Linked DNA regions of Canis lupus familiaris. The protein of the gene in region 1 interacts with the protein of each later gene in a pairwise test. Links are inferred from orthologs where the notes say so. Each region holds a gene or a part of one and is shown on either strand. Other genes may lie near its edges.

Region 1 (3,972 bases):
CCCTCAGCCACCATGCAGGGAGAAGACCCCCTGACCTCATTCTCCTCGGACTCTCCAGCCTCCTGGACAGATCCAGTGGAGGCCAGCAGGCAGGGCAGCCTCCACAACAGCAGGACGGAGAGGGCCGACGGCACAGGCGGGGGGCTGCACGCCAAGGCACGAGCTCCAGGAGCCACTCGGCAGGGTAAGGACGTCTGCGACGGCCCCATCCGCTGCCTCGAGGTCTCAGCTCCTCATCATAGCTCCAAGACCCTCCTGGATGCGACCCCACTGCCCCCCCAGGCTTTTCTTACCCCTTGTGTCTAGTGTTTCCTCTTTAACCAAAATAACGTGCACACATCACATAAAAAAACAAACAGTACCTATGGCTTAAAACAGCAACCCACAGTTTCCTGCCCAACTGCAGCCCCCACGCTCGCATCCTGCTCCGTGGAGGTAGGCTCCTTCAGCTCTCTGTTCTGCTGATTACCTCCCTGCTTCCACACATCACAAGCACACTACCTGCTCCCGAGTCCTCAATTCTGGGCAGCAACTGCCTGCCATGGAAGAGGAAGACTCAGCTCTGACCCCCACCCTCCCCGCCCTGACACACGCTCCGTACAATTACACGTGAGGTTTGGGTTAAATCAGTGTTTATTACTTCCATAAACACTGCTCACAGCTTAGCTACACAACGTACTAGGATTGAAATTACCACGCAGTGGCGTGAAGTGTCTCCTTTGTGTCTGTGTGCTTAGCTCTCTGCCTTACAGATGGAAAGCCAAGCTCTCTCCACCAGGTATGACGCTGTCAACAGGAGCAACCCAGTTCTGGGTCAGCCCTCCAAAAACCTCCACACTCCTCCCGGCCCGGCCTTGCTGCTTTCACAGCAGCACCCTGGCAATTCCCTCTGCCTCTTCCAAACGCCGCCTCCCGTTTCTCTCATTCCGTGCTTCCTTCCTGGATCCCTTCTTTTGCTAGAGCATATCCTCTAAGAAGGACACGAGGGATGGGTTTCCATCACTGCTGTGGATTTTGCATGTCCAGAAATACCCCTGTCCTCCTCCCACACTCGACTGGCACTCTGGCTGGATTCAGGGCTGTAAGTTAAAATCGCTTCCTCACGATGGCGAAGGCATTCCCTCACTGCCTTCTGCTCCCACAGTGCTGTTAGTGACCGTGCCATTCCAACCCCAGAATTTTCTATGGGACCATCTTCCTGCTCTGAAGGCTTTCAGGGTCTTCACCCTTGGCGCTGTGTGGTTTTGTAACACAGTGTCCAGGTGTGGGTCCGTTTGCACACACTGTGCTAGCCCCTAGGCAGACCCCAACTCTCAAGTCTCATAATCTTTGATGATGTCCTACCCTTTTTTCTCAGCTCTCACCGTTTAGAGTTTCTGTTAGACGCTGGACCTCCACTGTGAATCCTACTTTTCATCTCCTTGTGGAACCACTTTCTAGGAAGTATTCTTGCAAGGCACTCAATGTTAGCGTTTACCCCCGATCTGCGTGCTGAAACCCTAACGTGATGGCATTTGGGAGGCAATCAAGCCGTGAGGAAGGAGCACACATGTGTGGGATTGGCGGCCGTCCAGGAAGAGGCCAGTGAGGCCAACTGGCTCTCCTTGTACCTCATACCTTGAGAGCACACAGCAGGACGACAGGCTCCTGGGGGCCAGGAAGGGAGCTGGGAGCAAGAAGCACCGATGCCGGCCCTGCTCAGACTCCCCGTCTCACACCCGCAGCACTCACACCCGAGAGAGCGCTGCAGACACCACCCAGTGTGTGGTGCTGTCACGGCCTGCCCTGGGGCAGCTCTCTACTTCATCTTCCAGTCTCTGGATTGTTTTCTTTTGGCTGTTTTTAACTCGCATGAGCCCACTCTTAATCTCCGAATGTTCCTTTTGGATAGCATCCTATTCTTGTTTTATTAATACATCACATCTAAGACTCCTAGGTATGTGGCTTTTAAAATGCCCTGCTACAATCTGTTTCCTCAAACATCTTTTCAAACGCCGGCACATTGGCGAGGACAGGCACACACTAGCAGATGTGAAGATGTGGGCTGTCCCTCCACATCTAAGGGCCAGCACCAGCAGCCTGGTGAGAAGGCGTGTGGTGGGTGCGGCCTGTGGAGCGTTGGGTCTCCCTTAAAGCAGGAAAGCGGTAACACGCGGACCGCGAGGGGCTCCGTGGGTTCTCTCTCCCATCAGCCTGAAGAGCCATCCTCCAACCTCCTTCCTGGGCTGTGTGGGCTACAAACCTGGGCAGAGCAGCCGGGCCGCCAGGTGGAGGGAGAAAGGGTGGGACGGCCACACCGAAGGACACACACCTTTGCTCACTCTCCCTGTGCCGCCATAGCGCTCTCCAGAAATCAAACCTTTGTGTTCCACCAAAAGTGGAGGAGACATTGCCTTGCTGCAGGATGTGGGGAGGGGACCTGAGAGCCTTCATGCCTGCCATGAACACCTTCCACCCTCATCCAATCCCTACCCTCACCCCTTGTCTCCACTCACAGAGGCCCACGGAGCCCTGCAGCCTTTCTGGGATGTGAGGGTAAGTGGTTTTGCTTCCTGATGGACCCCTCCTCTGCAGCTGAGATCTTTCCTGATGAGCTGCCAGGGCGAGAGTGGCATGGGGCATAGAACCATGCGAGTGTCCTAAGACTCCCAGAAGAGCAGCTGTGCGCTGGGCTGGAGGGTGACAAAGACGTCAATCCTCTGCAGAAGAAAATCCACAGGCACCTGGCAGTACTGCAAACTCTTTGGGAAGTTACTTCTGCTTGGGTTACCTGAAAAATACAGATTTGTACTGTTTTTCCTCACAAACAGGAATGGATCTTGCCAAAAAATAAAAAATAATATAACTGAAAAATTTTTAAAAGGCTGAGGACAAAGAAAATACATATGTGTTACAAAAAATTCAAATGAGGGGGTCACCCGGGTGGCTCAGCAGTTGAGCATCTGCCTTGGGCTCAGGTCATGATCCCGGGCTCCTGGGATCGAGTCCTGCATCAGGCTCCCTGCTTGGCGGAGAGCCTGCTTCTCCCTCTCCCTCTGCTTCTCCCCCTGCTTGTTTTCTCTCCTATCAAATTAATAAATAAAATCTTACAAAAAAAAAAAAAAGGAAGAAGAAGAAGACAAACTGTACGGAAAGTAGTTGGCATAGTAGTTTTAGACGCCTTTTAAAATAAAGTAAAAAATACATGATGCAGTCAATGCCGTCTGTGCTGCCCTCTGCTGGCTACACGAGGAGGCTGTTTAAAGGTTTACAATTGGCCATTTTTGCCAGTAAATTCAATTACGTTTTGAACATATATGGGGAGAAAAGAGGGAAATTCATGATCTACACAGAGTGGGCCATGCTCTGCTGATACCTGCCAATACTTCTTTCTTATTTTCTGAGATGGTTTTCTTAATACTAGAACTGGTTTGACCTTTGTCCCTACACCGGCGCATCGTGGGAACTGGCACGGGGAGGACGAGGACGGTTAAGGATGCAGCGGCTGGAAGGCGGCGTGGCGGGGTTAGGGCAGCACCATGCAAAGCATCAGAGCAGGGGTCCCCGCCGGCACCACCAAGGAGACAGAATGAGCCCCAGTGACAAGCCACCCGGCATGAAGACTGGAGGCAGGCCGGTCCTTCCGCAGCTCTGGGACACGGAGGGCACTGGCTGTCCCCTCTGCAGTCCTCGCCGTGAACGCCGGTGAGAGGATTCAGTGCCCACGGCCGCTGCTCCGGGAAGAGACTGAACTCGGGGCCCCGGGTGGCCCCTCCCCGGGCCTCCTCACCCCGAAACCTGAGACAGCCCACCCGCCCCCCGTTTTCTAGCGACCGGTCACACACACCCCACTCAGATGTCTTAATAAAGGTAGTGCTGAGTACGCTGCCTTCATCCAAAAGGCTGGAGTCCTCCCTGGGTGTTCAACTCAAGCTAACGCCTGCTGAACGTGCTGCGGGCTGGGGCCCGGAGGTGAGGACACCTGCCTCCCTG
Region 2 (3,872 bases), on another chromosome or scaffold:
CACCCCCCAGCCGGACGCAGGCCCCTGTCCCAGCCTCAGCGTAGCAGGTGCTCAGCAAACACGTGACGGGAGGGTGAACGATGGAGGGAGGGGGCCTGGTCGTCTCCGTCTGTGCCGCCTGCCGGGTGCACCAGGGGGGCAGTGCTCACCCAGCCCCACCCTGGCCAGTCCGCCCCGTGGTCCTGCTCCTCCCACCAGGCCCGCCTCCCCCAAGGACTCCTCCTGGAGCACTGACGGGGCTCTGCCGTCAAGTCAGTCTGAGCAACAATGACTCCGACGTCGCTCAGGCTCCCTGGCTACAGGACTCATCAGGGCTTTTACTCTGCCAAGAGCCCCTGACGGTGTGAGACGGGGATAGAAGAGTTCCTCCTCCCCCCCCCCCTTTTTTTTTTAATTTTATTTATTTATTTATGAGAGGCACACAGTGAGAGAGAGAGGCAGAGACACAGGCAGAGGGAGAAGCAGGCTCCATGCACCGGGAGCCCGACGTGGGACTCGATCCCGGGTCTCCAGGATCGCACCCTGGGCCAAAGGCAGGCGCCAAACCGCTGCGCCACCCAGGGATCCCCCTCCTCCCCTTTGGAAAGGACACAGAGCCGAGGCACAGAGCCGCCGATGGTGGGCGTTGGGGGTCCTCCCGCAGGCGGAGGGCAGGGGCCACACTCCCTTGGCCGAGTGTCCAACAGTCTCTAGTCTCCGGGGCTCGCCTGCCTTGCTGCCCGACCTGGCCACCGGACGCCTGGACCATCACCCAGCCCTGGCGCCCAGAGCCACCAACACGCCAGTGCCCCCTGACCCCCGCCGAGGCCAAGCCTACCTGGTCTCAGGTAGAGCGTCACTTTCTGCGGGGACAGCTGCTGCCGGCCGCCCTTCTTGTCCTCCTGGATCTCGGCCAGGCTCTGAGGGTCCATGATGTCGTCAGCCGCACATCCTTTCAGCAGCAGCTGCTCTCGGGTGTCACAGCGAACGGAGTCGGGCTCCCCTAGCCCAGTGAAGTTCTGGGGGGCGGGGGGTCAGGGCTCAGGAGGAGGGCAGAGGCAGGGTGGGGGCCGCACTGTGGGTGCTGCACGAGAGCGGCCCTCGGGGTCACTTGAGGAGGCGGCCCCTCCTCTGTCGCACCTGGGATTGGGGACAGGTGTCTGGGTGGGGAGGGGTGAGGGTGGGAGGCCAGGCAGCTGGGTGTGAGGAGGACACCCGCCCTCTGACGGCCTCTCCCTGAGGCTGTGGGTCACCCCAGATGATGGAAGGACCAAGGTGTTCAGGCCCCGGCTGTCCCTGGGGTCGCTCAGCAGCTCCAGGCCCTGCCGGGGCACCTGGCCAGGAGTGGCCGGGGTGGCTGGGCCTTTAGTAGCAGAAGCGCCCTCCCGAGAGGAGGCAGGTGCCGCCCCGGGGGCTCCAGCACACAGGCCGGCCTCTGGGCCAAGCCCCAGGCTGTTGGGAGAGGCGGGCGGGGTCCTGGATCAGGGCAGCGTCCTCATAGAGGCCCCTGGGCTCTGAGAGGATGGGGTGGGAGCAGGGGCCCCGTTCCGTGGGTCCTGACGCCAGGCCAAGGAAGAACACGCTCAGGGACCCGGACACGTCTCTGCCCCCTTTCTCAGGGGGGCCCAGGAAGGGGCAGGTCATGTCTCAGGGGTGGCCATGCCGGAGGCTGGTTAGGTGCGGCCCACCGCGGCGCCCGGAGGGTGGGCACTTCCCGAGCCGCCCGTCTCCCCCGGGACCTCTGTCACTGCTCGCAGGACCCGAGGAACAAAGCGAGCCCCCCGGGAACAAAGGCCTACGCTACAGTCTGCGTGGAAGCTAATGAGCCTCGCCCTATTTCCAAGGAATCTAACGAGCTCTGTCGCGGGGAATGGGGAACTCCAACCTGCCGGGGACGTTTCACCCCCGGGGCTGCGGCCACACCGTGTCAAAGGGGGGAGACCACACCCGGCACCCCACTTCCCTGTAGGCGCTTGTGGCCGGGGCGTGGGCCGGCCGCTCCGAAGCCCCTGCCGCGTCGGGCGGGACCGAGAAAAGGAGGAAACGTGTTGCGGGGGCCGGAGCCCGGCTTCTCCTGAAAGGGAGGCAGGAGCCTGCGGAGAACCGCCAGATTCCCCGGCGGGGGCGAGGACGAGGACGATTCTGGGCCTGGGCCATGTCACTACTCGATGGGATGAGCACTGGGTCTTATATGTTGGCAAATTAAATTTAAATTTAAAAAATGTAAAAAAAAAAGAAAAGAAAAAAAGTGCTCAGAAAATGGACGCGGAGGTGCGCCTGCTGGACGCTCTGATGGGACAGAGACGGGGGAGGTGGATGAAGTCCTCCTTACACCAGGAGCCACAGGGGAGTGCGCGCGCTGGACGCCCCCACGGTGCAGCCCTCGCCGGACTGGTTGGGGTGCCCCCCCCGCCCCCGGGCGCTAACGTCAGGGGGTGTAAGCTTCATAGGAAGCAGGCCTCCTGGCCACGTGCATCACCCCACAAGTCACGTATTAACCGCAAAGAGCTAATGGTGACATCGCGGTGGAGGCGACGCCCCTCGGCTGGGGGGCTCTCACCAGCATCACCAGTGTGGGGACAGAGGCACGCCCTGAGCCCCGTGCGGGGCACCTGCCCAAACACACGCCCTGGACCCAGGGAGAGCGAGCGCCGGGCCTCCTAGCGGCCGCTGCTCTGAGCCCCTCGGAAGTGCCGGGCGCGGGGGGTGGTGCGTGACCCAGAGCTGAGGGGCTCCCGGTTCCGGGGGACTGAAGGGCCAGGACACCTGCTGCCGGGTGTGATCCTGGGTCATCGCACAGCCCGGGGCAAGCGCGATCGAGAGCATCATGGGCACAGCTGGGAACGTTTGCGTAGGGCGTGCAGACGTGAGCAGGTGCCGTGGCCACGGTCCAGGACCGGGAGGAGCGTGTGGTGGGTGTCGGGGTTGGGGGGCCTGGGCTAGCGACGGATGCTTGAAGTAACGAGGGACAAAGGGGCTTCAGGTCTGCAGTCTACCCTCAGTGCGCGCATGCGTCTCCGGCCCGTCCTGCAGCGTCAGAACCTCAGGGACCCCCAGGGCGGGAGGGCATGGTCGGGACAGGGGCGCAGGGGGAGGGGGCCGCGGGCGGGGCCTGGGGCTTCTCTCCAGGAGGTGGATGGGCCCGGGACAGGAGGGTTGCGGCCGCCGCGTGAGAAGCACAAAGGTCCCATGCGGAGCCTCCCGCACCTCGTCCCTGTGCTCTCACTTCCTGACAACCTCCTCACGTCCTGTGGTCCCCGCTCAGGGCTCCTGCCTGGGCAGGGGGCACACGGCCGGGTGACCCCAGGCTGCCCTGGGGTGGGGCCGAGTCTGTCTGTCTGTCTGTCTCTCAGCCCCCAGGCTGCGCGTGCCTCCCCGGAAACAGAGTGGTGGTCCCCCTGGTGCCCAGCTCCAGAGGCAGAGGGAGGGCGTGGGGACAGGAACGGGGACGGGAACGCGGGACGGGCAGGACGGGCGCGAGGTCCCTGGGGGGGGGCTCTTACCAGCTTCTGGCACCAGGCGCAGCCGGGCCCCGACTCCACACAGTCCCGGCACGTGCTCACTTTGTACTTGGTGCACTCCTGGCAGGACGCTGGCGGCAGGAGGAGGCAGCTCCGTGAGAGGTGGCCTGACGCGGGCCGACCCCACGCGGCGCCGCTGATGGATATGGGGCAGGGAAGCCCCACACACGGGGTGGTGGAGAAGGAGGGTCCCCAGGAGGCCCGGGTCGGGGCGGAGCTGCCCTGGGGGACAGGACAGGGGGCAGGTCTGCTCTCCCCTCCCGGGACGTGGTGGGCTGTGTCGTGCGGAGCTGCCCGCGTGGGACTCACCGGCCCAGAGAAAGAGCAGACCCTCCAGGGTGAGCAGCAGGGAGCTGTGGCGCAGCATGTCCT
Region 3 (3,872 bases), on another chromosome or scaffold:
GATTCCGGTCCAGGAGGGCTGGGCCTGGCCCGGGCAGGGTTCCAAACAAAACTGACTCATCTATGTCCATGTTTTCCAAACTTGGGCAGTTACCTGTGTTACCTAGAATGCAGAAAACAAAGTCTACTGTGGAATGGGTATGAGCATCATTCCCCATAAGTAAACACAACCAAATTTCTCTTCAAAGGGTGTAAGAAAGAGTAAAGGTGAGTAATATTTTTCCCTGAGTTTCACCTGTATGAATAAGTGATTATTTATGAGACTGCTTGATAAACCTTATAGTGGTATTTCCCAAACTATTGTTCATGGACTAGCTTCCATGTAAAAAATGTTCCCTGGTCACAGAAATAGTACTGGAAATTAAATAAATTTAAATAGCTTCTTCATGTAAGAATAGTCAAGTCATCTGAGAGTATGCTGGTATGACTTGTCAAGCTCCAAAAGTATCACTTCTTAAACAGAAGTGACCCTGCAACCTTTTATTGAAATTCTCACAGAAATGGCATTCTAAAGAGTACACTCAGAAAAAAAAAAATAAAGAATATACTTGAGGAAATGCTGTCTTACGGACTTCTTCCATTAAGTTCCTCTGATTTTTAGTTACCACATTTTTCAAGGACTTATAAAATTCTTATAACATCACCCGAAGTGTATGGGAAACACATGTAGCCTCCACCTGTAGGCTGATTATAGATAATTCAAAACAGAAAGGGTATCTTCCAACCTCAATATTCCATGTTTCTTCCTAGAATACTTTAATACTTAAATGCTCTGGAATAGTACCATACCCAGAAAACATCCCTGTCCTCAAATAAGTAACAATTTATTTGTAGGAGCTGAGTTTTATCTGCTTAGCTGATTTTTTTCATCAACCTTTCATAACCTGCATCTGGGCTCTCCAAGCTCAGATTTTAATTGCACACCAACATCCTGTCCCTGCCCCGCTTGCTTATGCACTGAGCTGGCTGGTATGCTGCTAAAAGGAAGGGGATTATTTGTTACACTAGCCTGAGAACACGGTAATTAGAAGGGGACTCTGCTTCAGGAACAGCAATGGAACACTGCACACTCAGAAATGGTTTTACTCTGCGCTGATTATTTCTCTACTGTCACTTTCCTTTGTCCTTGATGAGCAATACAAAAAGAGCCTGATTTTCCATTTAATCTGCAAGGTTGAAGATGGCCAGCTCTGCACTGACTCGTCAGAATGCTTTCCTTTTTTCCTAATAAAACCTACTTTATTTCATCTGGCAACAGCCTGATTGGAAAGCAATTGAGAATCTCATACCCTGTGTATTTATTCTAGGTCTAGAAAAAGCAAACTAAAGAATTCCTTCAATCTCTCAAAAAAAAAAAAAAAGTGTAAAACAATGGCTTTAATGAGGAGTCATTCCCCTTAATCCTGAACTAAAGATCTTGTCTACAGAAGCTATTCCTATAGAACCCCTGGACTGCCTATACACATTAGGCCAAACCTCATCTCCACTCTAGAATGTTCCAGAAGCAGACGCAGAGGTTTCCCAGACATCCTCAAAGTCTACAGAAATCCAAGAGTGGCTGGATTTAAACCTGTGTCCTGCTAGGAAACGTCAGACCCCCAAAAAATCTGCTACAATTGTTTTAAAATATTAATTTAAAAAATAATAAAATATTAATTTAAAAACAGACAAGAGAAATAATTTATATAGAAGCTTCATTTAAAAAACAGAATTTCAAAATAAACATCAAAGCCATATATTAGTGCCTAATTATGAGTTAAATGTATCTTTTATTCTGTAAATAAATTATTACCTGAAACAAACAAAGCTAAAGGTTATAAATAGACTTTAGCTCAGGGTTATCTGAAGAAGGTATAACCTGTATTTCACACTAAACCGCTAAGCCACCGAGGCGTCCCCCAATTTTTTTTTAAGCAGGCTCTATACCCAGCACAGAGCTCAACATGGGGCTCGAACTCATGACCCTGATATCAAGACCGGAGCCAAGATCAGTAGTTAGACAGTCAACCAACTGAGCCACCCAGGTGCCCCCAAATCAATTAATTTTAAACTCAACCTTTCCTTTCAGAATTTACACAGCAGCAAGAGCCATGCATTTACTGTTAGAATGATCGCTGGTATTTCCCGTCTTGGGTTTGCAGGCATGAATAAGCATTTCTCTGCATTCACATAACTTATATAATATGTACAAATGGTAGGAGCTCTACCCAAGAAGCAATCTACCATTCCAGCCTCAGTAATTTCTGAGAACTACACAACCCTGAGCCACAAGCATTCTCAGAAATTTAATTCATCTATTGTAATAGTAGGAAAATCAGACTATTATTCCCACTGTTCTTCTAAAATCTCCAGGTGCTTCTTACAAGTGTGTGCACACATGTGAGAGTGTGTGTGTGTGTGTGTGTGTGGTTTTGTGTGCATATGTGTTATATGCATGGAAGAAGGGATGTGACTTGACTTACTCTCTGAAAGCACAAGTAAATCCAAAGGTCATGCCAAAAAACCCCCAGAGACCAGTATTTTTGATCCATGCTAGACAATGTTTTCTTATAATGATGATAATCTTACAACAACTTAGAGGTCGAAATACCAAAAAGATGAATGTTAATGTGGTTTCTTCTGAACAGGAAATCACACTTACCATGAAGCAGACGCTGTTCCTGTAACTGCAGAGATCTGAACTCCACCCATTTTTTCTTCAAGGTTTGCTGATAAAAAGGAAAAAGAAGTGTTAATTATTGGGAATCCCCAGTGAAGGTAGCAATTTACCTCTAGATGTTGCGATTTGTCATTAATATCTTTCCTTCCTTCCTAGCACTAACAAACTCCTCCATTCATTTGAAAGATTATTTTCTACACAAAAGGGAGATATTGGGAACATTACTTCTGCAAGAAATAATCTAGTAGCATCAACAAGTTGAAACTATGACAAAGGAAACAACCGGCAATAGAAACAATGGCATTTATTTATTTATATATTCTTAAAAATATTACAGAACCATATTGCTTGGGTTTGTGTATATTTACCAGCTGTTGAGGCAAGGATTTACACTCTAGGCTTCCCCTGTGTGTAAGATGAAGGCAATAATAGTATCTAAACCCTGGGATTATCCTGAGAATTGGTAGAGTCAGTAGGACAGAAAAGGTGCAAAACAGTGAACAGAGCTTAGTAAATGTTCAGCAAGTATCATCATTCTATCAGCCTGCACTGTTAAAGCAGTGTTTATCGCTGCACACCTATGTACTTTTCACAACAAAAAGGGGAAGCCAGTCTGTCTGAAAGGTTTCCTTGGAGGGCTAAACTTAGAACACCGCTAAGCACCCTGACTTCTTAGCTGCTTCCTTCCTCAGCTGCCCAGCACATGCGAGCAGCGGCCCAGGGTGGCCATGAAGTGGCTGCTGTCATGGTCAAGACTGCTCGTGAGGCGTGCCCTCTTCCATCAAAGGGGGTGATGAGAATCAAAGCAAACCACCCAGAGACATCTGACAAGGACAGTTAGAGGCTCACTCTCCCTCCCGCCCTTCGGCCTTGCCCTGCCGGCTCAGATCCCCACATCAAGCCCAGCAGACAGGCACAGCTCAGCTTTGCCTATGGCCACTTAATCCCAAGGAAAGGCAGCCTAGTTGGAAAGGAGCACTCCCTTGTAAGAAGCAGTCTAGGAAAGGTAGATGGAGGCTATAAAGGAAGAGCGGGGGACAAAAGTACATTTGGAAGGGGAAGGCCTAAGGAAAAGAAAATAATAAAATCACAAGAATGTCATCAAGTGCTTAAGGGAACTGGTTCCTCAGTTTGGAGACTGAACACTCACTGGGCCGGATTTCCAAGCTTTGGTAACCGTAACATTTAGCATTAATTTAGGATTAATTTAGCAT

The links.
Region 2: the proteins of CYTH1 (region 1) and ITGB2 interact in a two-hybrid assay, tested with the Homo sapiens proteins (2 studies listed by BioGRID). The link is inferred for Canis lupus familiaris from reciprocal best matches to the Homo sapiens genes CYTH1 and ITGB2.
Region 3: the proteins of CYTH1 (region 1) and CYTIP interact in binary tests that used the Homo sapiens proteins (3 or more experiments, as listed by UniProt). The link is inferred for Canis lupus familiaris from reciprocal best matches to the Homo sapiens genes CYTH1 and CYTIP.

Annotation. Positions count from the first base shown.
Region 1 is NC_049230.1:3,507,888-3,511,859, reverse strand, and holds the start of CYTH1 (cytohesin-1), read right to left. Parts: upstream 2,755-3,972; 5' UTR 2,623-2,754; coding exon 2,496-2,622; intron 1-2,495. UniProt on the Homo sapiens protein: Promotes guanine-nucleotide exchange on ARF1, ARF5 and ARF6. Promotes the activation of ARF factors through replacement of GDP with GTP.
Region 2 is NC_049252.1:38,476,879-38,480,750, forward strand, and holds part of ITGB2 (integrin beta-2), read right to left. Parts: intron 3,871-3,872; coding exon 3,810-3,870; intron 3,572-3,809; coding exon 3,483-3,571; intron 999-3,482; coding exon 818-998; intron 1-817.
Region 3 is NC_049257.1:3,654,796-3,658,667, forward strand, and holds part of CYTIP (cytohesin-interacting protein), read right to left. Parts: intron 2,708-3,872; coding exon 2,641-2,707; intron 103-2,640; coding exon 1-102. UniProt on the Homo sapiens protein: By its binding to cytohesin-1 (CYTH1), it modifies activation of ARFs by CYTH1 and its precise function may be to sequester CYTH1 in the cytoplasm.